4 linked regions of the Drosophila melanogaster genome follow. The protein of the gene in region 1 interacts with the protein of each later gene in a pairwise test. Each region holds a gene or a part of one and is shown in the gene's direction. Other genes may lie near its edges. The genes, in order: CG8219, CG2852, TwdlF and CG13784.

Region 1 (7,183 bases):
CCGAATTTGTACGACAGTGGTGTGTAACACGTTTTATATTTAAAATGCTTATTCTTTCCTTCTATTCTCTTATCTATCCTTCCCGTTCTTCCCATTACTCTTAAATTACGCTTGAACACTGAAACCTATAAGCACATCGATCTATTCCTTTGTTCCACAACTCACTAACAATCCACATCATTTAACTGGAATTTAAATTTGCTTTTGAACTTTCGTGTTTGCCAAAGCCTGCTAATTTAGTTTACTTTTCCTGAAAACGACATTTAAACATTTTCTTTGAAAAATGCAGGTGCACATCGTTGCGGCACATACGAGACAATGATGAGAAGGACTCAGCCTTCCGTGGAATGTGTCATATGATCACGGTGAATCCAGCTGGCGTGGTAGCAGACTTTATATTCTTCTGCGATGCCATCGCTTCCTGGGTTAACCCACCAGAGGATCTGCATCAGATGATACAGAAGGTTTGTACCCTACAGGTAGTAACTATTTTCTTTATTTCACACATGTTTCTTTCAAGATTCTGCACGGTTTTAAGACCCAAGTGGGCGAGGAGAACTGGCGTCGATTTGTGGAGCAATTCCCGCCAACCTTGGCCGAGCGCCTGACCACAATGTATAACATCTAAGGCTAGCCATGCCATAAAACACCCACCTTCACCCATTAGCGAGCCAAGCAGCAACTTTTTAACTAGACAATTATGTACAAGTATGCGTAATAAGCGTGTCGTCTTTATCTTTAGCCTCCTTAAGTTATTCGATGCAGTTCGAATGTTAAGTTAACATTGAAAATCTAAGCTTATAGAAATCGAAAAAAACAGCAAATCCACATAAAAGAAACTACATAACTAGATTTAAATCCACAAACATATATCGAAAAATCGAATAGAGAAGAATCGTATATATTTGAATTCAAGCTAGAGGATCTTTGATCTGTAGAACCTCTTTAGGCACACGACTGTCCGCTTACAGCATATAAAATGCCTTTCTTGTGCAGAAAACTTAGTAGGAACCACTAGAAAATTATGTGTTCCGGCCGTACTTAACCGGAGTCAGTGCTATAGCAGATATGCCCCATTCTCCAATACACTCTGCCCCAAAACCCAAACCGAAAATAGAGTTGAATATGTTAAACACACGGGTGTTTCTCATATAGTAATAGAAAAGCTAAATGAAAAATCGTCGAAACTAAATGATATTGCGGGTCCTCGTCGCGGTAATTAAAAACTAAATAACTAAATAAAATCTTTAAAGGATGAAAGTGTTGGGTCTCCTGTGAAATCCTAAGATCAGAAATGGAAAAATGGATTCAATGGCAGGTGCACACAAAATTGTTACAAATCAAACAAAGACTGATGTTCAACTCCGTTCAAAAACCATAGAAAGCATTCATCAACAGCGGATTCCAATTTCCCAGAAGTATCCAACACTTTCGTCATTTATATAACAAACAAAAAATGGAATCGAAAAAAATCGTCGCGTTTCGGGTTCTAACGGTTTCGCGTTCGCGTATTTTCGTCGCTCGTTCGTAATCGTAATCGTCGTTCGTGGTATCTCGTCGGGTAAAACAAAAGAAAAAGGAAAAAAGGATATAATACAAGGATAACGATAATATTGCAACTGTTACTGATACAAATTTACTGATACACTTAATGATATTCATATGCTATACAAAATTAGGTGTTTTTTTACGCATTGTGAAAGCGAAAAGCAAGCAAATAGGGAAACATTGTAAAATTGAGATTAGGATTTTGTTGAATATCTTATTTATTTTCCATTAACTGAATACAAAAGCAACCATTGACTGATCACTTTTTAAAGTATTATTATATAATTTTTTTTTGTATAGGGACAAGTGTAATTAATGAACTATTATTATTTTCTTCGAACTTTTATATCATTTGTATAGACTCGTGTTTTGCGTAACCTCTATAATTTACGATCTTTGTACAGAACAAATTTTTTACAATTATATGATTAGGTGTAAAGTGTACTACTAAATGAAAACAAAAGTCTTTGAAATTGTCGCGGAACAACTAAAACATACGAAAAATAAAACTAGGGAAAACCAAACTCAGTCAAATACAAAATAAATGGATGATTATGAAGCGTAAGAAGAGTAAGTAAATCTAAGTAATAGTATTACGTAATTATGCAAACCGTGTTTACGTTTGTGTTTTTATTTCGTTTCGAAAATGGGGGAACGTGTGATAATAAAGTAACTTCGGGTCGTTCGTTCGCGTCGCGTTAAACTCAATCAATTTAAAAACTAACAATAAGGGACTTTCGCCCCCGAGTCCCAAATAATAATCGCAATACTTGATAACTTGATAATAATACGGTCTAACTAAAGCGGAAGCATAGCAATTGCTAAAACTGAAACTAAACTAAAATGAAAAATCGTGATTTCGTTGTACCTTAATCCGGATTCATCGCGGAATCCGGTCGCGTTCGCGTGCGTTTGTATCTCTCTCGGGTGATCTTAGTGATTAGCGTTTAAGCAGAAAAAAAAAATGAAAACAAAAAAACTGAATCAACACTACTACAACTACACATAAACATACAACATTAAACATGTACACACCACACATATACAGCAATATGAAATATATTTATAGATTTTATGCAGAGTAGGTTTTTGTTTAAAATATTATTTTTCATTACGATAGGGCAAACCAAAAAAAAAAGTAGGGAACATCAAATAAACTAAATGTTAGGTCAAGCTAGGGCAAGAAACAAATTAAAACAGCAAATCAAAAGTTATTTGTGCAGCATTAGAGAATTTTTTTCTTATTTCTTTCAATATTATCGTGTGTATGCTATTAAATCGATGAAGAGAACATACCAACTGTTTTTAGTACTTTACACAATTATGATATTTAACTTCCGTTGTTTTTTTTAAGTAAATCAAGACCAAGCCTAGTAAATATTGTTTTACCATCTATATCTTCATAAACAGCACGTAAAACTTTTCGTTCATCGAACATTCAACTCTGATAGGTTTATATCTCTAATCGTTTAAGCTTACAACCACTGTCTAGGCTAAATCAAATGTTCTGCAAATGTCTAACGAAATTGAATATATATACGGGCCTATATGCATAAATAACATACGCATATATATGAAATACATGCATGTATGTATAATCCCTACATCAAACTATATGGATTACAGATTATTCTTCTGGAGTTTATATATTTGTTTGGCTAAAAACTCCATTTCAAAATTCAACTATCAAGATTTGTGTAAATTGAAAAGTATATATATGAATAAATATGTATGTATAACAAACATTACCCATCAAGATAATGGATTTTCTGATTTGTATGGGATATGAGTAGGCCGAGAACAGAGTGTCATTCTCTGTCACTTCGGTAGCCCCCTTTGGCAGACCTTACCCCACATTTATCATACAAAACCCGGCTAACTTTTGCATCAGCAGCAAAATGGCATGGACACCACGGGATGAAGGTCTGCAGCAGCTCCTACCGATACTCAAGGACTCACAGTCTCCCGGTAAAGCCACGCAGCTAGCCGTGCAAGAGGTAAGTACCGAAGACCCAACTGATTTAGCAATCCTCATCGGGTGCTTCCCGGACTTCAACAACTATCTCGTCTATGTGCTCACGAATCTGAAGACGGAAAACGAGGCAACGCGCTCCATGAGCGGCCTAATCCTCAAGAACAACATTCGCATGCACGACATCACTCTGCAGCCGGAACACCTGGAGTATATCAAACACCAGTGCCTGCAGGCAGTGGGCGACTCTTCACCCGAGATCCGTGGCACCGTGGGCATTCTGATTACCACCATTGCCAGCAATATCGGTCTGCACAACTGGCCGCAGCTGCTTCCATCTCTCTGCGAAATGCTCGACAACCAGGACTACAATGTGTGCGAAGGAGCATTCAGTGCTCTGCAGAAAATTTGCGAGGACTCTGCCGGAATTTTGGAAAATATGCCATTAAATACAATGATTCCAAAGTTCCTGGAGTACTTTAAGCACAGCAGTCCAAAGATCCGCTCCCACGCCATTGCCTGCATCAACCAGTTCATCATCAACAGATCACAGGCCCTGATGCTAAACATAGACAGCCTCATTCAGAACCTCTTAGACGTGCCCTCGGATAATGACCCAGCGGTTCGCATGAACGTCTGCCACGCATTGGTTGGTCTGGTGGGGGTGCGCATAGACCTTATGATGCCGCACATGTCGCAGATTATTGAGGTATGAAGTTAAGGTTTAGTTTTAAATTTTAACGTAATGAAAAATCTCTGTAGCTCATTTTGTTGCGCTCCCAGGACGCCGATGAGAACGTGGCTCTGCAGGCCACCGAATTTTGGCTTTCATTGGGAAAGCAGAGAAACTGCAGGGATATACTTTCTCCCATTCTATCCCAGTTAGTCCCAGTTCTTGTAAGCCGAACGCAATACACGGAGACGGACATTATTCTTCTGAAGGGCGATGTAGGTGAAGATGACAAGGAGCCTGATAGACAGCAGGATATCAGTCCACGTTTCCACATGTCCCGCGTACACGGTATAAGTAATGAATTGGATGAAAACTCGGACGACGATATGTGGGATTCGGCATTGAACTTGCGCAAGTGCAGCGCTTGTGCTCTCGACATTATTTCGAAAATTTTCGGCGATGTCTGTCTGCCCCTTATGCTGCCCATCCTAAAGGAGGCGCTATTCCACCAGGAATGGGTGATCAAAGAAAGTGGTGTGATGGCCTTGGGAGCTATTGCGGAGGGCTGCATGCAGGGCTTGATCCCACACTTACCAGAGCTGATTCCCTACCTAATTACCTGTCTGTCTGACAAGAAGCCACTCGTACGCTCCATTACATGCTGGACGTTCATGCGATTCCCCAAATGGGTGCTCAACCAGCCGCACGACAAGTACTTGGAGCCTCTAATCGAGGAACTGCTGAAGTGCATCCTGGACTCCAATAAGCGCGTTCAGGAAGCTGCGTGCTCTGCCTTTGTCGCTCTGGAGGAGGAGGCCTGCACGCAACTGGTGCCCTACCTGGAGAATATGCTAAAGACGTTCGTCTTAGCCTTCTCCAAGTACCACCAAAGGAATCTACTGATAATGTACGATGTCGTTGGTCTTTTAGCGGAGTCCGTCGGTCATCATCTGAATAAACCGCAATATATTGACATCCTAATGCCTCCGCTAATGGATAAGTGGAACCTGGTAAAGGACGACGACAAAGATATAATCTATTTGTTGGAGTGCCTATCGAGCATCGCCACTGCGTTGCAGTCCTCCTTTCTGCCCTACTGCGACTCGGTGTATCGAAAGGGCATCTCCATTATTGAGGAGACTATCAACCAGGACATGGTAAGCAACTGTGTTAGCTTCAATGTAAATCTATCAATGAACTCGACTCCTTTCAAGATGTGTAAACAAAGCCAATCAACCGATTATCCTGACAAGGAGCGCATGGTTATCGCCCTGGATCTGGTGTCTGGCTTGATCGAGGGGCTGCAGAGCCTCATAGAGCCACTGGTGGCCAACAGCAAACTTTTGCAGCTGCTCTGCCAATGCATGGGCGACGTTATGCCCGAAGTAAGTTTTACCTAATTAATATACTCGTGTATATGGGATTAAAATACATATTAGGTTCGCCAATCATCGTTTGCCCTGCTGGGTGATTTGAGCGGGGCTTGTTTTTCCCAGGTATACCCCTACACGGCCCACTTTATTTTGATCTTGGTGCAAAACCTAAACCCCAGCGTTGTTGGTGTGTGCAACAATGCAGTTTGGGCCATAGGGCAAATCTGCGTTAAGTTGGGTAAGTTGGCTTGGTTCTCTTATAATGTAACAAAAAAGATTTTTTGTATTTCGCCCCTAAGGTGAGGAAACCAAGCCGTACGTACGCCTTCTGCTTAGCGAACTAATGATCCTGATGAACCGGCAGGACATTCCAAAAAATCTTTCGAGGAATGCGGGTAAGTAATTTGGCCTGATTTAAAGTAATTTATTATTATTATTCTTTTTTTTAAGCAATAACACTTGGGCGCCTCGGAAATGCATGTCCAGATGAAGTGGCTCCCTATTTGCCCGAATTCCTACGCCAGTGGTATGTACACATTAAATGCTTCATTTGCTCATTTTTTAAATTATCCTTTCTTCCACGAAATGAAGGTGCTTGTTATTGCGTTACGCATATGACCACGACGAGAAGTATTTGTCTTTTATGGGAATGTGCCATATGATCAGGGAGAATCCAGGAGGCGTGGTGCCCGACTTCTTATTCTTTTGCGATGCCATTGCCTCGTGGGACAATCCTCCACAGGATCTGCGTCAGATGATTCGAAGAGTAAGTTATTTCCGGAAATTATTAATTTTCGTCTTTCAACAATACTCGTTTGTTATTCTAGATTATCGAAGGCTTTAAGAACCAAACGGGTGCGGAGAATTGGCTAATTTTTTTGGGGAAATTTCCACAACCACTGGCCTGCCGGCTAATCGAACTGTACGACATCGAATACTAATCCGAAGCTATCCAGCCAATTATGTATTGCTTCAATCATCATTCTAATTTTACTAAGTAACCAAAGCCCCAAAAAAAGTCAGCTATTGAGTAATATACGATTTTATATAATCATTTATAATATGAATAATTCAACAAAACCTGAAATATTTTTGTAAATAAAGTCTCAATAATTGTAAAAATGTATGTTACACCATTTAAAACTTATGACATAAAAAAACAAAAGTTTTAGTTTCATTAAAATGTTTATTTTATTGGTTTATTGGAATTACAAAAATGCAAGATTCTCTTAAGGAGTTTTAAAAAGGATATATAAATGTAAATGGCTTTAATAGAATTGGCACGCAGTTTGGCTTATAGTACTAGGAATATATACGACTGGCATCTTTGCTAAGGATCTATTACTTTGAAGACCTTATGACTTTTTTATGACCCGTCGATTTTGTTCGTTTGAAATTTGATCGTTCGTTGTCCTTTGATTAGCAGTTGTCGGCAAAAGAAGATTCTTCCTGGCAGTTTTTCGTAGTCGTTGTCCAAATAAATCATAGGTCCTTAAGTCGTTCCGAAGTTCTTTATTAGTTGAGGGGACAATAGCCCTGCCAAATATCGCCAACGACCATGTTCGGCGTGATGTTGATCATCCTTTGGTTAACCTCCACCTTGCTGATGCAGCCCTT
Region 2 (5,643 bases), on another chromosome or scaffold:
AAACTCAAAGTTATCACAAGTACATTTTCAATAAACAGTGTTTTTTCCATAAGTTCAGAAAAAAGAGTCACAATGCTATGATAAATACTGTTTTGTGCACCTAATTAAGCAAACTAACGAAGGAAAATACTTTTTAGTTTGATTTCAAAATTTTTTTTTTTTTAATTTTCGCATTTTTTATAAGGGGTAACATCATGATATTATGCAAAAAAAGGCGAAAATTTGAAAATCTAAGGCTTCAACACCAGTCGATAGAAAATTGTATTATGAATTCAACGATGTAACCCATTCCATATTTGGCTCATTATTTTTACTTTTTCGATCAAAAAAACTGCATATTTTTGGGCGGAAAACCGGGGGAATATATTGGCCAAAAATTCCATATTATTTCTCTCTGTGCACTCACGTTCTCTTTTGAGTTTGGAAACAGGTTGCCAGCGTGCTTGGCAGCGTTTCGCTTTCAGTTCGATTGTTGAGCGATCATGACGACAACGCTGCCGGAGAAGGAAGCGGAAACGCAGCAGGAGATCAGGGAGCGGGAGGCCAAGGCTCTGGAGGACCGAAAGGAGCGCAAGATCTACGAGAACTTTGCCACGCCCCTGGCAGGCACTTTTCTCAACCTGCCACGCGAGCCCGTGGAGATCGAGTGCCCCGCCTGCGGAATCAAGGATCTGAGTGTGGTGCAAAATGATCTGAAGTGGTGGGCCAGTGAACTAAACCGCATTGTGGGATGTCTTTTTGTGTAGGTTGCCTTACTTTCTCCTATTTCTTGGAAACGTAAACTTATAAAATACTTTTACAGGACCTTCTGCTGCTGCTGCTGCTTTAATTACTATGTGCCGTGCAAACAAACCGATCGAAGTCATTACTGCGGCAATTGCGGCTGTTACTTTGGACGTTCCATGAAGAGGAGGCAACCACTCAAATTGAAGGCAACCACCGCCTAGGCAGCATTGTTCACATATTTATTAAAATTCTTCTAAACACTCAATTTCCCACCCACTACTGCAATACCATCGAAACAAAAATAAAGCCAAAAATATCACATTTTCTCTTTTTTGGGCCGATTTTTTTCTCTTTGCATATCATTTGAACATTTTATTCCTACAATTTCTCTTCGCTAGCCTCAGTCTGCGTTTGTTTTTAAAGCAGTCAACATCTTTCGGTGCGAAATGGCTCAGGATCCGAAACCACTTTACTTTGCCGTGGGCCCCGGCCCCAACGACATTACGTGTCCTTATTGCAGGACCAAGGCCAAGACCCGTGTGGTGCGTTCCTGGCTGCGTTGCTGCACCAAGAGGCATCACTGCGGTGCCTGCGGGGAGTACCTGGGCGTATACCGCCGTCCACAACTTTAGATACCCACTGAAGAAGGATCATCGGATCCGAATTATTATAACACAATGAACAAATGTAGATCAGTTTTGTCATTTAATTTATATTCAATAATAATAATAAATATACTGCTGTTTGAAACGAATAAAAGTTTACTATTTAATGTGTAATGCTCAAAATGTACACTATACTTTTTACACTGTACATCCAATGGCATTTGTAACGCAGAGAGAATAACTCATTTGATTTCCATGCACTAACTTAATTACCAGACCAACGCCTCGGTTAAGAGAAATCGGGAGAGTGATTCTGATTTTGATTTTCCCTCCCATGATCTCTCCAAATTTGATCCATCTTTCAGTCACCGATCGTTCTCGCTGGAACTCGCATCATGACCGTGGACGAACCGCAGATTGTGGCCATCATTGTCAGCCACAAGCCACAAGTGGGATACCTGAAGGAGGAGCCCACCTGGATCCGTTGTCCTTCGTGTGAGAAGTCTGGAACCAGTTTGGTGCAACTGGAGTTGGTCACTTGCCTGCAGAGATTTCTGGGATTCACAAAACTTTGGTTGGCCATCTGCATGAAGCTTTATAAATCTTTCGTAATGTTCACTTTATTTCAGTAAAAAATGGTCTGGCCGCCAGGACATCAATCACTATTGTTCACACTGCGGTTGCTTCATTGGAAGATTTGTGCCCATCAGCTGCATGGAACGATGCATTTCGAGATCAGCCCGTAAACAGGCGGCCGTGGATGATATGACCCTGAAGACACGACCCAAGGATTGCGCTGAAAGGGCCCAGAAATCCAGGGAGAAAGTTCTGGCCAGCAGGGAGAAGAAGAGAGCAGAGAAGGCAGCCAAGGATATGGACAAATCTCAGACGCAAATAGCAGTACACCAATAAATAAAAGCATATTTTTTTACTTACTTTTTGTGTACAGAACCGTCAATAAAACAAGAGAGAATGCTACGTGCTAATGCAAACTGGACTTCTAATCCCTAAAATATTAAAAACTATACCAATAAAGTCAACTCTTCGAACTTACTTTGTTCCTTCGTACGAAAACCTTAACTTATGCTTTCGGCGTATTAACTATTTGAATTTGAATTTTCCGCCCGAATGTGTGATCATCAGACATCGTCATCGAATGGTCACACTTAAGCATCGATATTTCGACAAAAACATAAAAAACGATGGAAAACATCGATTGGCGATGCAACAAAGTTTTCTTACATCACTAACAGAAACCGAAAATTCAGTCGTGAAATATCCATTGGCGACGTCGCTTGAGGAATAAACTGAAGCGCTGTGAATATTTAGAACGATGAAGCTGTTCTTATCCGTTTTCGTGGTAGCCCTGGTGGCCGGCGTCGTTGTTGCCGACGATAGCAAGGGTCCCAAAGTGACCGAGAAGGTGCGTGCTCCTTGGACTTTCGTCCTTACATTCTGCATACACCACGTACATACACACACAAACACACACACACATTTGCTGCGCCATAAATCAAGTGAGATGACTTGTTAATAATAAACCGCTTCCGATTGCGTAGGTTTTCTTTGACATCACCATTGGCGGCGAGCCCGCTGGTCGCATCGAGATCGGTCTGTTCGGCAAGACGGTGCCCAAGACGGTGGAGAACTTCAAGGAGCTGGCGCTGAAGCCGCAGGGCGAGGGGTGAGTAGGGTACTTGAGTACCGAAAATACCCCAACATAGTAGGGTGCCAGGTACCGCTAGGCCAGCAAAAGATGCCGCTAATCAGCGGCACTTTGTAGGTTATAGCGGGGCTCTCAGATTGAAGCAATTACGTGGCGTTTGAGCGGCCAATCGCATACATCAGTTGACAAAGCGGCACTAATGGGTTAACAAAGAACGCCAACTGTTATTAAGTCTACCATACTATAAAAGTGCAGTTCTTGGGTATTTCTTTTTTCTTCTCTGAATTTATAAGTATGCATGTTCTTTTTTGGTTAGGTTTCGAGTTCTAAACCCAGTTTTTTTTTAAATTTAAATTCCCATGCTGACAAAACTGACCATCATGCAACGCTCTTATACCCCGCAGCTACAAGGGCAGCAAGTTCCACCGCATCATCAAGGACTTCATGATCCAGGGCGGTGACTTCACCAAGGGCGACGGCACCGGCGGTCGCTCCATCTACGGCGAGCGCTTCGAGGATGAGAACTTCAAGCTGAAGCACTATGGCGCCGGCTGGCTGAGCATGGCCAACGCTGGCAAGGACACCAACGGATCGCAGTTCTTCATCACCACCAAGCAGACCAGCTGGCTGGATGGACGCCACGTCGTCTTCGGCAAGATCCTGTCGGGCATGAATGTGGTGCGCCAGATCGAGAACTCGGCCACTGATGCCCGCGACCGTCCCGTCAAGGATGTGGTCATCGCCAACAGCGGCACCCTGCCCGTTTCGGAGGCCTTCTCCGTGGCCAAGGCCGATGCCACCGACTAAAGTGTTTGGGGAGCATGTCATCCATCAGCAACATAACCGATTTGAACTAAGCATAAACGCATAATCGATTTTTCCAGACATTTGCATTTACCATAGCTCGCCATGTTTATTTACATTTCGTTCCGTAAGCAAGTAATTGTGCTCAACTAAAAACAGAAATGGCATAAATAAAGAATGATTTTTTGTGTGATAAAGAGCTGGAATCGTTCTGTGTGTCTATACCATGATGCCGGTGGTGTGCAGGTTCAATGAACCGGTTTTGGTTCCATCGCTTTCTTTTGGCTCTGACTTCCCTTAGTGGCAACCGGTTTGTGCCTTCTTCGCCAATTTGTTTGCCTTTGTATGTTGTGCCGTTCTCGATTTAGATTGCCCATGTTCTGTCTGTTTTTTCTCTTTGTTGTTGATAAACAACGCTCGGTTCGTCACATTTTTCTGATTTGCACACTTGCGACAAATTAAAGAACACACAGACGAGTTCATTTGTATATTTATTCAGTTTGTTTGGGCCTGCTGGGAACTAATTGTATATGATTGAATGAACAGGTGCATGACTGTCTCTGCAGAAGTTAATCGGGTCGATTGATACTTAAATAAGTGCCACTGGCTCATCTTTCGATCAAGTATCCTGTTCTTTATAGAAAGTTTCCTTTCACAACCCTTGGACTAAATATTGATTACTATATACATACCATACTATACTATCCCATGTATATAGAGGTGAAAGCCCGAAACCAGCCCTCTAGTAACTAATTATATATAGCATAATTTTTCAGATCTCAGACGCTGATGAATTGGCAACTTTTACAATTAGCGAATGCACTCAAATGCAACAACATTGTCTAGAAATGCATATGTCTGCCAATCCTTAGACTTCACGTCCCCCAATCTTTTGTTTAGAGCGAGAGAAACCAAGAACTGAAGAGACGATCTCATATCGTTCAAATGTGGGGAATCGTATATGTACATATATATGAAGACGTACATATGTGCAATTGTACCCCTTTCACAGACCCCACAATCGCTGTGTATACATTAATGAAAGCAATAGGATCTATATGAAACGCATGTGTATTGGGGTCTGGTGGCAATCTCATGTGCCACACATGTTCCAGTGACCACAGAAATTCTGGACGTACTTCTAAGATTATATTCCCGAGAGCAATCAGTTGAGTGTTTTGTTTTTGTGGGGAGTCAAGGCGCTGGGAGCGATAAGTTCAGTCTCATTCGTAAACTCAATACAACCGGAAGAGTTTACCGGCGAATGCAATTGCATTACGGCCGGAACTTAAGTATAATCCCAAGCTGATCGTTGATAATAGGGAATATGGTTGGTAAACGGATGCAAGAAGTTCTAGAAAAAGTGTCATCCAAATAGTTTCGAAGCTACTGGAAGACAGATAAGAAGAGATTGTCTTTAATTCGATGATGTGTACTTTCGGAAATGACCTAATTAGTTGTGTGTATGTTAAACCATATAGGAATCTCAATGGAATCGTTGGATCTTGCTGGCTATTTTGGGACTAGCTCTGGGCCAGATTTCACAGGCAGCCAAGATCCTGGTACTGTTTCCCCATGTCAACGAGGGTCACTTTGCGGTGATGCGGACTCTGGTCACCGAGTTGGCCAATCGCGAGCACACAGTAAGTGGCAGTGCTGTCGTTTAAAACGTTTAAGAAATGAAAAGAATGTTGTTTGAATTAGATTGAAGTATATACCGGTCATGGTTTGGGAGAATCTCTGGATAACGTTACCGAAACGGTGACAGCGGAATTTCCTTTTTGGAGCGAATGTGAGTAGGCCGTCTGGAGAAGATTGTTCACGAAGTATAGCAATATCCAC
Region 3 (5,487 bases), on another chromosome or scaffold:
TGTTATAATTTATAATGTTACTTCTTCCTTATTTGCTCTATAATATGCAATGAAAATGGGCTGAATTATCAAATAGGCCTACGTCTCCCTAATTTCAATAGATTTGCATATTCTCCATCTTACAAATGATTGCTTGCATCAGAAAAGCCACTGGAACAGTAACGTATAAAAGCGTCGACCAAATGTAATCTTCGGCAAAGGAAACCCATCTGCCGAACTGCCCGCACAAAAAATGTATTTAGCCACCCACAAGTAGATACAAGTATTCACGATGCGCATCTTTCTAGTAAGAACACAAAGCATTTATTCCGCACTTTGTGTAACCATCAAACAATTTCAGATTCTAAGCCTCTTTCCTATGGCGCGAGGGAAGTACGACTACACTCCAGTATCGTATGCCGGTAATGGTCACGGAGGACTGATTGGCGCGCCCAGCTTTCTAAGGCTATAGCACCCGCCAGCGAGTTCACCAAGGAGTTCTTCACCTACAGTGCTCCAGAGCACGAATTTGATGACCACCCCAACGAGCAGATCGCTCACTTGATAAAGAAGAACGTGCTTGTGTTGTTTATCAAGGATCCCGATAACAAGGGACTGGAGCAGGCGGCGCTCCAGCTGGCCACCTCCGCGTCCGCCGACCGCATCGCCATTTACGTGCTCAACAAGCAGGAGAACATTGGCAAGTGGATCACCAACCTGAATACTATCCGTAACAACAACAAAAACCGCAAGCCCGAGGTTCACTTTGTGAAGTATTGAACGCAGAGCGACGCGAAGAACGCCCAGCGCACTATCCAAGCCCAGTATGACTTGCTACCGGGAGTTTCAACCAACTACAACGGTGGAGCCTCGGTCTCCGTCTTGGACTTTGCGTCTAAGGTCATTTCAAGTGGAACTGACGACGGGAATGCGTTCGTTCGCAAGGTAAACGCACCGTCGACAAGCCCGTACTTGCCACCTTCTCATGAAAAGTATTAGTTTAAACGCAAAATAATCAGTATAAGATATAACCGAAGACATTAGTGCCTTTGGTATAACACTATGTTTCAATGTCGTGTTACCGGGAAAGGAGATTAGCCGTGACTATATGCAATCATTACGGACGTAGTCCACGTAGTGAAAAAGAATGTGCCACGGGGACCACAATATGTATAGGAATCAATGATAATCTGTTTTTTCTATAATAATAATTTGTGCTAAACAACTTTATTTAAAAAACATAACGGCATTTTTAATTCTATGCATGCTTAGATAACGTTTTTTGTACCGACAAAACTGTACAGGCCATAAAATTCCCCTTACTTATGGTATTTAATAGTCGTAAAAACAAAAAACAAAAAAGAATGCTGTAGTCGAGTTCCCCGACTATCAGATACCCGTTACTCAGATCAATTCACCACTTTTCTGGTATTTCGATAGATATTGGAGAATAAACTGAGGAAAAATTTAATAAATTTAACAAGGCAAAAAGCTGCGTCTATGTACATGATCTCAACTCTCTAGCCTCTATAGTTCCTGAGATCTCGACGTTCATATGGCCGAGTCGATCTGGCCATGTCTGTCTGTTCTATAAAAGCTGGATGGATTAGATCAAACACCCACAAATCGCCAAAAGCTGCCACACTGTTCAAAATTGTAAATAACATATTTTTAATTTTTTCCTGCCAATTTCGATGGGTTTTTGGCATGTTGTTTTGCCTCCACTTTAACGCTAACAAACCGCCCAAAAAATGTTGCGATTACTCGTTCGCACTCCCTCTAGCTGAGTAACGGGCAATTTATTTCATTTCGTCAAATGAAAACTTGATTTTTGGAATGTTTTCGATTGAAACTTAAAAACATCGACTCGCCTAATTAACGCTCAACTGCCGACCAAAATTCGCTTTACCACACTTTATAAGAATATTTATATTACTCGTAGAGTTAAAGGGTATACTAGATTCGTTGAAAATTATGTAACAGGCAGATCCAACCATATAAAGTATATATATTCTCGATGAGGATCAATAGCCGAGTCGATCTGGCCATGAACGTCTGTCCGTTATTTCCATTACCGTTATTGCCCATTATTTCCAATTACCGTTGTGCAAGTAGAAAACAATTGAACTAGCAAGTAAAAGCATTACCCATAACAATAGTATTGTTAGCATGATTCCAGGTTGGATTCAAGCCATGAAGTGCTATATTTCTGAAGAACTGAGCATATTTTCACAAATATCTTTGAGCTTATTGGTTTTTCTGCATTTTTGAAAAGACTTGTTTAATAACAAATTCATTTATACAACATCTGCGACAAAGCGAATTTTATATGCAGATAGATCGCTTCCCACAATTTTGGTCATGAATGTGTATAAATTGGGTTTCCGTCCATAAAACTTACTTTCTTCATATTATCCCAGTTTTGTCAATCGAACCGCTTTACCTATTAATATTTTGCATATAAATATATTCAGCGTTGACAATGGGGATCTCAAGCGATTATTTAAATTTGAACGCAGCGTTGGTCGCCAAGTTAGATAAGATCCCGGACTGTTCAAGCAGTGCATCTGCGCACACGGATCTGTGATTTGGCAACCGCCAATGTGAAACGTTACATATTCGAAGTTGTGAAGTCTATAATAGATTCATACGATTTATGGTAGTGCCTAATAATTTTTTCATTTATTGGGAAAACGATGCCAGCCTGGACAGATATAAAAACATAGCAATGGGAAGGCAGGGCATCATTCGACCCTAGCAGCTCAGACAGTTCAAAGTGAAAATGAAGCAGTTCGTTGTTCTAATGGTAAGCAACTGGCACATGAGCGATCCCCGCAACAACTAACACTTAATGTGCTCTTGCAGTGCCTGGTGGCCCTCACAGCAACAGCTCCTCAGGGATACAAGTACCAACCTCAGCTGCCAGCCCTTCCCATTGGCAATCTTCGTCCTCTGACACCCATTTCGTCAAGTGGAATATACGCAAGTGGCGCCGTCCCATCTTTCCCACAGGCCGGTGCTCAGCCCGCGATCGGTGTCCAGCCAGCCATTCAAGCCGTGCAGACCATCGTTGCCGCTCCTGCTCCCGCCCCCGCTCCCGCTCCTTTGTCGATCTCACTCCCAAAGGAGACTTTCCTTACTGCTTCGCCCCAGCAAAACCTGATCAGCACTGTGCAGCAGCAGCCTCAGCAAATCGTGTACCAGCAGCAACCGCAGCAAGCCCTTCAGACCCAGTTCGTCCAGCGCCCCGCTATCGTTACCAAGGACATTTACATCCACTCCGCCCCCGAGGAGAATGAGGAACTGCGGCAGGACGAGCCACTTCTGGAGAATGTGCCCATCCGCAAGAACTACCGGATCGTCTTCATTAAAGCGCCTTCCCAGAATCTGAAATATACCGCCGCGGCCCTGAAGCGGGCCCAGTCAAGCAACGAGGAAAAGACCGTCATCTACGTGCTCTCTAAAAAGCCCGATCTCACTGAGATCCAGCAGCAGCTGCAGGTTACCCAGTCTGAGGCCAAGGTTCAAAAGCCGGAGGTCTACTTCATTAAGTACAAGACCCAGGAAGAGGCCCAGCGCGCCCAGCAGGAAATCCAGGCCCAGTACGACGCCTTGGGAGGTGCAACCCACATTTCGGACGAGGGAGTGGCTCCCATCGCCAGCGTTTCGAGTGGCTCCCTTAACCTGGGCAGCTTTGTGCCCCAGCACTCCCAAGCTGGCCAAACCATCATCCACTCTCAGGCGCCAACCATTATCCAGCCACAGGGTCAGCCCATTGTTCAGCTGCAGTCTATTAACCAGGGGGTCCAGGGGGTCCAGCAGCAGAGCTCCTTTGTGCAGAAGTCCACCTCCTCATTCGCTCCCTCGGCGCCATCAAGGAAGTATGTGCCGGCAAAGACTTTTTAAAAAGTTGTAGTAAGAATCCTATCGCTTTCATTGTTTTATATCAACCATCATACTGTAGTAAATTTTAATTTATTTTTAATGCAAAAGTCGAAAGTCGAAAGAAATATAAAAAAATTTAAATCGAAACCCAAAAAGCCTTCTGTTTCTAGTACTCGTTTTTAAGTTTAATCCTTTTAATATTTTAGATAGGTTTTGTTTTAGGATTTGGAATTAATCTTTCATTTAAGGCATAGCTTGAGTTTAATGTTTCTTATGAAAACGCTGTTTATTTTTATCACAAAAATGTTTCAATGGGCTAAGAGACTATGACAATGACTTCTTTCTCGCAAGAAAGTTTGGACCATCTCTTTTGGCATTAAGCCAACAGCCATAATAATCAAGTTTTCGTGTGGCTTAATCGTTGTTATGTAAGTCAAATCACATGCTAATTTATGCGACCGGTTTTCGGCTTGGATGGCTGTCATTGGACTAATGGATGTGGTAACATGGTCCATAGAAAACTATTTTGTTACTTTGAAGTATTGAAACTCGATTTCATATTTGAATATGGCTGCAGAGTCGCTTTCTATCATAAGGCGGAGCTCAAAATATGAACTTTATTTAACTAAATGTGTAAATTACAAGAGTTCAAGTCTTAAAATTACGACAGTGGCCTTGGAGTTGTACCTAAGCACGCAGATTAGTTGGCAAGTAGCTGTTTGGCAAGGAGCCAGAAAACTGTCCGGATGAAATTCCGTTGTTGCGCTGGTTGTCCAGTACGCCAATCACGGATGTAACGGGTGCAACTCCCTCGTCAGAAACCTGTGATGTTCCGCCAAGCTGGTCATATTGAGCTAAAAGAAGTAAATCGGTTAAAAATCGGGTAATAAAAATTTGGACAAGCCAGATTAATTGGTCGATAGACATTTCTATGAAGCTTGCAAATCGAAACATTTGAGGTCTGTTGCATACTGATGAGGTCTTCAAGTGTGTCTCATAGCATCTGCTCGATGCGGGTGTTGCTCACCTTGAATGGTACGTTGCGCATGCGCAGCTTCCTCCTGGGTCTTGTATTTGATGAAAAATACCTCTGGCTTGCTGGGCTGCTTCGGCGCGATTTCCTCGATGGCAGTCTGGAGATCTAGTGGGTCCGGCTTCTTGGTCAGCACATAGATGATGGTCTTCTCCTCCACAGGAGCCTGTTTGATGCGCAACGCCGCCTTCGAGACACTGGTCGTCGGTGCCTTGATGAAAACTATGCGATAATGCTTGCGCGGAGGCGCGGGCGGAAGGACGGGCTGAGGGTAGCGGTCCTCGGGCTCTTCTGCTGGTGGCACATGGACGTAGATGTCCTTGGAGACGAGGTGCTGCTGCTGAGGCTGATGTGCCTGGGGCAGCGCATTGTACGCCGAATTTGGGCCGAACTGCGTCGCCTGCTGTTGGTAAGCGGAGGCCTGGTTTTGATTTGAGTAAGATGCGAGCCCTTCTCCTCCGGTCAGGACCTGCTGCAACTTTGGAGCCTGGAGTGCCTGCTGAAGGATCGTCTGCTCCGCAAGGGTGGCAAACTGCGGAATAGAAGGCAGATGGAGTTGACCAGCTTGCGCCGACGATTGAAGCTGTTGC
Region 4 (6,436 bases), on another chromosome or scaffold:
CGCGCACTCCGAGTTCTCGATGGTGCCGTTCTGGTCTTGTGCGCCGTGGGAGGAGTCCAGAGTCAGACCCTGACGGTTAACCGGCAGATGAAGCGCTACAATGTGCCCTGCCTGGCTTTCATCAACAAACTGGATCGCTTGGGGTCGAACCCGTACAGAGTTCTATCCCAGATGAGGTCAAAAATGAACCACAACGCTGCTTTCATTCAGCTGCCCATTGGAGTGGAGAGCAATTGCAAGGGCATCGTGGATTTGGTGCGGGAAAAAGCCATATACTTTGAGGGCGAGCACGGAATGGACATCAGGCTGGACGAAATTCCACAGGATATGCGGGTAGAGAGCCTGGAGAGAAGACAGGAGCTTATCGAACACTTGTCAAATGCAGACGAAACGCTTGGAGAACTTTTCCTGGAAGAGAAGCCCTTTACAGAAGACGATATTAAGGCGGCCTTAAGGAGAACCTGCATCAATAGAACCTTCACACCTGTCTTGGTGGGCACAGCACTGAAGAACAAAGGTGTCCAGCCATTGCTAGATGCAGTACTTGACTACCTGCCCAATCCTGGAGAGGTAGAGAACCTGGGCTTCATCGAGAAGGAAGGACAAGACCCAGAAAAAGTAGTCTTAAATCCCGCCCGCGATGGCAAGGATCCCTTTGTTGGCTTGGCGTTCAAGCTGGAAGCTGGTCGCTTTGGCCAACTAACCTACCTCAGATGCTACCAAGGTGTCCTACGGAAGGGTGACAACATCTTCAATGCCCGCACCAACAAGAAAGTGAGAATTGCTCGCTTGGTTCGATTGCACTCAAATCAAATGGAGGATGTAAACGAGGTGTATGCCGGCGATATATTTGCGCTTTTCGGAGTTGATTGCGCCTCCGGAGACACTTTCACCACCAATCCCAAGAACAATCTGTCTATGGAATCCATCTTTGTACCCGAGCCCGTGGTCTCAATGGCCATTAAGCCAAATAATACCAAGGATAGGGATAATTTCTCGAAGGCTATTGCGAGATTCACCAAAGAGGATCCCACATTCCACTTCTTTTTCGACAACGATGTAAAGGAAACTCTTGTCTCGGGAATGGGTGAACTGCATTTGGAGATCTATGCCCAGAGAATGGAGAGGGAATACGGTTGCCCAGTGACGCTGGGAAAGCCAAAAGTAGCATTTAGGGAAACCCTGGTGGGACCGTGTGAGTTTGATTACCTGCACAAGAAACAATCGGGAGGATCGGGTCAATATGCCAGGATTATTGGAGTCATGGAACCACTACCGCCGAACCAAAACACCCTGCTGGAATTCGTGGACGAAACAGTGGGCACCAATGTACCAAAACAATTTGTTCCTGGAGTCGAAAAGGGTAACTAAAATTACATTCCTCAATGTTCTGATTTTAATATTTTATTTGCTTAGGTTACAGAGAAATGGCTGAGAAGGGAATGCTCTCCGGTCACAAGTTGTCCGGCATTCGATTCCGCCTGCAAGATGGTGGTCACCACATCGTGGACTCCAGCGAGCTCGCCTTCATGTTGGCTGCCCATGGTGCCATCAAAGAGGTCTTCCAGAACGGCAGCTGGCAAATCCTAGAGCCCATTATGCTGGTCGAGGTCACTGCACCCGAGGAATTCCAGGGTGCTGTAATGGGTCACTTGAGCAAACGGCATGGTATCATCACCGGAACTGAGGGAACCGAGGGTTGGTTCACTGTCTACGCGGAGGTACCGCTGAACGACATGTTTGGCTATGCGGGAGAGCTGAGGTAATCTTCAGTACACATTGGAAACGTTGAATTGTATCTAAATATATCTCATCTTTATTTACAGATCGAGTACCCAGGGAAAGGGTGAATTCACCATGGAGTACTCCAGGTACTCGCCTTGTCTCCCAGATGTCCAGGATCAGATCGTCCGGCAATACCAGGAGTCGCAAGGATTGGCCCAACCCGACAAGAAGAAAAAGAAGAACTAGGTTTTAACTTAATCTATTTTTAATTACCATCTCTATCAAATCGAAATGTTATTGTGTCACCCCTATTTTTGCTTAGTTAAATTTTATTTCATACAACAATTTTCAGTTTTCACTGTGATAAATGCGAAGTGTACAGTTATTTGTATAATAAAACAAGATTCAACAAAAATCGGTATACTTAATTAATCACAGCTTGTTGATATCAGTTGAATTTTTCGTCTTATTTTTCTTTGAAAATGAAATATATATATAAATTAATACAAATAACTCATTTATATTTGAAACGCTTTTGTTGGAGGCGCACATACTATTTTGTACCTATATAACACTAGGTACGGAAATAGGTACCGATTGGTACTCCGCGGTACTTAGTCATCTTACCGTTAAACAGGTCGAAAACGAGTATAACAAAAATATCGAATAATAATGTCAGATGCGTTAGGGAATGTGAGTTTCAGGATTTCGCTGACTGGTAACACTAGCCACAAAACTTGTGTACGTTTGTTTGTGTTGTTGTTTTCGCTTGCGTGCGGTTGATCCGCGGACAGTTTTTCCGCAAACTCGCAGAGGAAATGCAAACTGTGGCGAGGTGAAAGGAAAACTGACCACCGAAAGTGCGAAGAAGAACGAAAATTGAAACAACAGCAAGCGACAGCAATTAGCGAATGAATAAGTACGATTTTCCGGAACAATAATAATAGCAACAACAGCAACAACAACAACGGCTGCAGCCACAACAAAAATTTAACTCAATTAACGGAAAAGGCAAACGGGGGAAAATGCAATTGAAATGCCGAGAGCATTTATGAAGTGTGCTGATGTGTTTGCGTAGAAATGGAGCGATTTGTGATTGCAGCGCTTTGCTCGTCTAGTGTTTTCCGCTGCCAGAAAAGTGTGCGCAGGAAAATCGGTGACGATTCGTGAAAAAAGGGGCATAGAAAATTCGGTGAAAATTCAATACAAAAAAAACGCGGAAAACGAAAACACAGGAAAAATTAAAAGAGCGACAAAGAGTGAGAGCGTGCGAGAGCAATAGGGAAATAGAAAATAAATATCTTCGCTGCCTGCGTGTGGGTGTGCGTCAGTGTGTGTGTGTGTGTGTGCAAAAGTAGAAGATCAAAGCGAAACGACGAAAAACAAGCACAGCAACAACAACACACAGCTGACTTCCTTTCTTTCCTTCCTGCATTACACTGTTCAACAAACAATAGTTATAACCGCAAACGATGCGAAATCCAGTAACTACAACAACGACTACTTCCAATCGCCGGCTTTTAAACTAGTCAAAAAATCAAATCAATAACATAAACTACACATATCCGCTAAACGACAAAACCTAAAACGAAAAATAAATTTCAAAACACAAAGTAAACGAATAAACTAAATATAACCAAATTTCCAGTAAACAGAGATAGCTCACAATGGATTGGATCATCAATGATGAGATGGGCCTGACGGTCGGTCACGTGGTGGGCTGGGCCGCCGCCTCCGCAATGGTTATTGGGGGCGTGATCCCCTACGTGCCCCAATACATTGAGATCAAGAAGACGCAGGACGCGGAGGGATTCTCTCTGTACGTGTGCCTGGCGCTGCTGGTGGCCAACTCGCTGAGAATACTCTTCTGGTAAGACTTAACTTGTACGCTAATCAAAAATAACTAAATTTGTAATCGAAAATAGATACTGGAATACTAGATACATAATAGATACCTAGGAAACTAAAACATTACTAGCATCCGTACGAAACTAATTAAATTCATTACCTAATGCTCCATAATGTTAACAAAAGTGCTTAAATGTGAAAGCTCAAAATTTTGCAAGTAATTATGACGATTTCATATCCAAATATGCCATTTTTGAGCAATAAATCAATCATGAAAGGCAAAACGAACTTTTATTGCACGCGCTTATTTTTCTTTTTGACTGTACAGCACTCGAAAATAACACAAATCACTTTTGAACGCTGCGTATTCAAATGAAAATAAACACCTGCAAATTCTCTCTCGTTTTTTTTCTTTTGATTTGGGTTGAGAATACAATTGAAATACATCATAATTCTTTAAAAAAAAAATCTCTAGAAAATTACTGATATGGCACTTCCTTGTCTTTAAAATCTACCTAAAAACTTACTTTAGAAACATGCTATTATATCTACATATATATACAGAAAGATCTCTTTCGCAGTAGTTTCGAATCCTCTGGCACCCCTGCGGTGAAAACGTCAGGTACCTGAACCTCTCTAAGTAAACCCCTGTCCACTTTTATCTCACCCACATTGGGATGACTAAACCCACTCGGCAAATACCTGGTATGGTATTACGGCTTATCTGGGTGGGCAATTCAAACCGCTTATCACGCGAAATTCTCTCATGGTCCGACGCGACAATTTACGGTTTGGAGCACTTGAGACCAAAACCCCTTCCTATCTGTTAGCTATGTCATGATTTCTGGTCGATTTTGCTCACCATAGTCGATAGACGACTTCCACAATTTGGACGAAGGACCAGCGTACTGGTTTTATCTTTATTGTACTCCCAGCGGTATTTAGGTATTCGGCACAATGCACAATGTCGTCGATAATCGCTATTTTCGCTGGGGTTTAGGACACTTGATGGAAGATTTATCAGCTTTCATGCTGAACTAATGTTTTGTGGGATGTTTGATAAGATTGTTACACTCAACTCAATACAAGCGCAACTATAGTTTATAAGAAGTCAAAAAAAACTATTTCGTAATATACGAAATTCAGTCGTTTTTGGGAATATTTAGGTGACTTAAAAATGTTGACAGTCTGAACTTTCGTTTCTGGAATGGTTTCATCCAGCTGCCCTGGATTGTTGATTCATCTTTTTGCAGAGCGAAACATATAAATCAAAATTAATAAAGTAAATTTTTAATTCAATTTGAATGAGTGTGCAAAGTAGCTTTCAAAATGTGACAATGCCATTGAAACCAGTTGAAACTGACACAGAGCCAACAAACAAAAAGATATAATTGAATTTGCGCTATTGTTTATTCAGAACGTATTTTCATATTTAGTTCAAAATATATATTTGCCATATGGAATAAACGGAATAAACGGATTTTTAGGCCAGCTACTTCTCGACTGGCCTTTAACAACAGGGTCAACTACTTTTGTCCAGCTGGTTTCTGTGTATTTTTCAGGTTGTTTAGCCCGTTTAAAGCTGCTGCTATTGTGGTTTTTCGAGACCCATCGCTTCCTACTAATAATTTATTAACAAGCCAAGTGAAACGTGAACGCAAAAACAAAAAAAGAATAGGAGCAACTGGTGGCCCTCATCGACGCCGTCAATTTGTCTGGCCTGGGTGGCAATCAATAAATAAATTATTTAGCTGGAAACTGTTGCCGGCGAGCAAAGTTGAATCAGCTGGGCAACGAGGCTTTGAGCCGAATAATCCCAATACAATATGTATACGTTATATATAGATGTTTACGATTCCTTGTGGCCAGACATTTTTTTTCCAGACACGCGATCAGTTTCAGTTGGGTTTTATGAATAAAGTCAGTCAGTCTGGAGGCTAAGTAATAGTGCAATAGGAATGTTTTGGGGGCTACAACAATGATAGGAAGTAGCTTTTAATTTATGCACGACTTTTTGCTTTCCGTACGCCGTAATTATTATTATTCCGACTGAATAAACCCCCGCAAAAAAAAAAAAAATTTAGTTGAGTGCAACTGGCAATTTGTGTACAACAAAATGCACGAAACACTTCAACTATTAAAAGTTATTTCGTGAATTTACCATAAATTGCACGCAATTACAATTAATTAGTTCACGTGATGGAAATATATTTCACATATGTGATATTCAGAGAAAAAAAAACACTCCCAACAAAGGGAGGCAGATTATGGATAGGAACAAGAAGGAATGACACATCCCGTTGACTTTATTGTAAAAATTGACAACGTGGCTGCCTTTGTTGTTGATCGTAAATATGCATATTAAACACGGAATTAATCATAAAACTCACACCGTGGCACGACTAAAAGTAAATATAATAATTGGAAAAATTTTCTGTGCTTTTTGCATGAGCTCATTGCTTGAAATCATCGCTGAATAATTATTGTAAAATCAAGATTAGAATTGTGGTTTAGATAATGCGAATAGAGTTTACACTTGAGATAAGATATTTGGAATTTTTTTTTCAGCTTTTGGTGTAGGAAGTAAAGTAAAGTTGTTTTTATCTTATCTGTAAAAAAAAAAGTGCAGTCCATTACATACTTCATATACTAAATAAAAATTCTTTGTTTGGCTATATTTTATGAAGTAGTTATTCATTCAACTTTCAGTTAATAAAATATTTTGCGATGTGGGCGTTTTTTCCAGTTTACTAACGAAGCAGATTGCGTATATATATATATAGAATATATACATATTTAACTAACTAAAGTTTGCTCTATGGCAAAAGTCAACAAAGCGGCGGAGTTCGATTTCGTAAAAAGG

The links.
Region 2: the proteins of CG8219 (region 1) and CG2852 interact in a two-hybrid assay, tested with the Drosophila melanogaster proteins (one large-scale study listed by BioGRID).
Region 3: the proteins of CG8219 (region 1) and TwdlF interact in a two-hybrid assay, tested with the Drosophila melanogaster proteins (one large-scale study listed by BioGRID).
Region 4: the proteins of CG8219 (region 1) and CG13784 interact in a two-hybrid assay, tested with the Drosophila melanogaster proteins (one large-scale study listed by BioGRID).

The regions. Positions count from the first base shown.
Region 1 is NT_037436.4:6,197,094-6,204,276, forward strand, and holds CG8219 (uncharacterized protein), read left to right. Parts: upstream 1-3,379; 5' UTR 3,380-3,446; coding exon 3,447-3,545; intron 3,546-3,638; coding exon 3,639-4,229; intron 4,230-4,282; coding exon 4,283-5,350; intron 5,351-5,407; coding exon 5,408-5,578; intron 5,579-5,632; coding exon 5,633-5,804; intron 5,805-5,865; coding exon 5,866-5,961; intron 5,962-6,016; coding exon 6,017-6,092; intron 6,093-6,157; coding exon 6,158-6,332; intron 6,333-6,393; coding exon 6,394-6,507; 3' UTR 6,508-6,683; downstream 6,684-7,183. Other genes in the region: Tnpo (transportin), read left to right, coding at 1-19, 290-464, 521-628; LanA (laminin A), read right to left, coding at 7,082-7,183.
Region 2 is NT_033778.4:22,643,293-22,648,935, reverse strand, and holds CG2852 (uncharacterized protein), read left to right. Parts: upstream 1-2,591; 5' UTR 2,592-2,664; coding exon 2,665-2,754; intron 2,755-2,890; coding exon 2,891-3,015; intron 3,016-3,401; coding exon 3,402-3,804; 3' UTR 3,805-4,290; downstream 4,291-5,643. Other genes in the region: CG34445 (uncharacterized protein), read left to right, coding at 483-742, 803-947; CG34446 (uncharacterized protein), read left to right, coding at 1,173-1,358; CG30195 (uncharacterized protein), read left to right, coding at 1,727-1,905, 1,961-2,243; Ugt317A1 (UDP-glycosyltransferase family 317 member A1), read left to right, coding at 5,129-5,131, 5,283-5,444, 5,506-5,593.
Region 3 is NT_033777.3:4,244,300-4,249,786, forward strand, and holds TwdlF (TweedleF), read left to right. Parts: upstream 1-2,720; 5' UTR 2,721-2,761; coding exon 2,762-2,785; intron 2,786-2,844; coding exon 2,845-3,885; 3' UTR 3,886-4,014; downstream 4,015-5,487. Other genes in the region: TwdlG (TweedleG), read right to left, coding at 4,552-4,718, 4,892-5,487.
Region 4 is NT_033779.5:7,216,068-7,222,503, reverse strand, and holds the start of CG13784 (uncharacterized protein), read left to right. Parts: upstream 1-2,470; 5' UTR 2,471-2,644; exon of another isoform or gene 2,645-3,373; 5' UTR 3,374-3,392; coding exon 3,393-3,595; intron 3,596-3,650; coding exon of another isoform or gene 3,651-3,651; exon of another isoform or gene 3,652-3,853; intron 3,854-6,436. Other genes in the region: mEFG1 (mitochondrial translation elongation factor G 1), read left to right, coding at 1-1,363, 1,417-1,762, 1,827-1,971.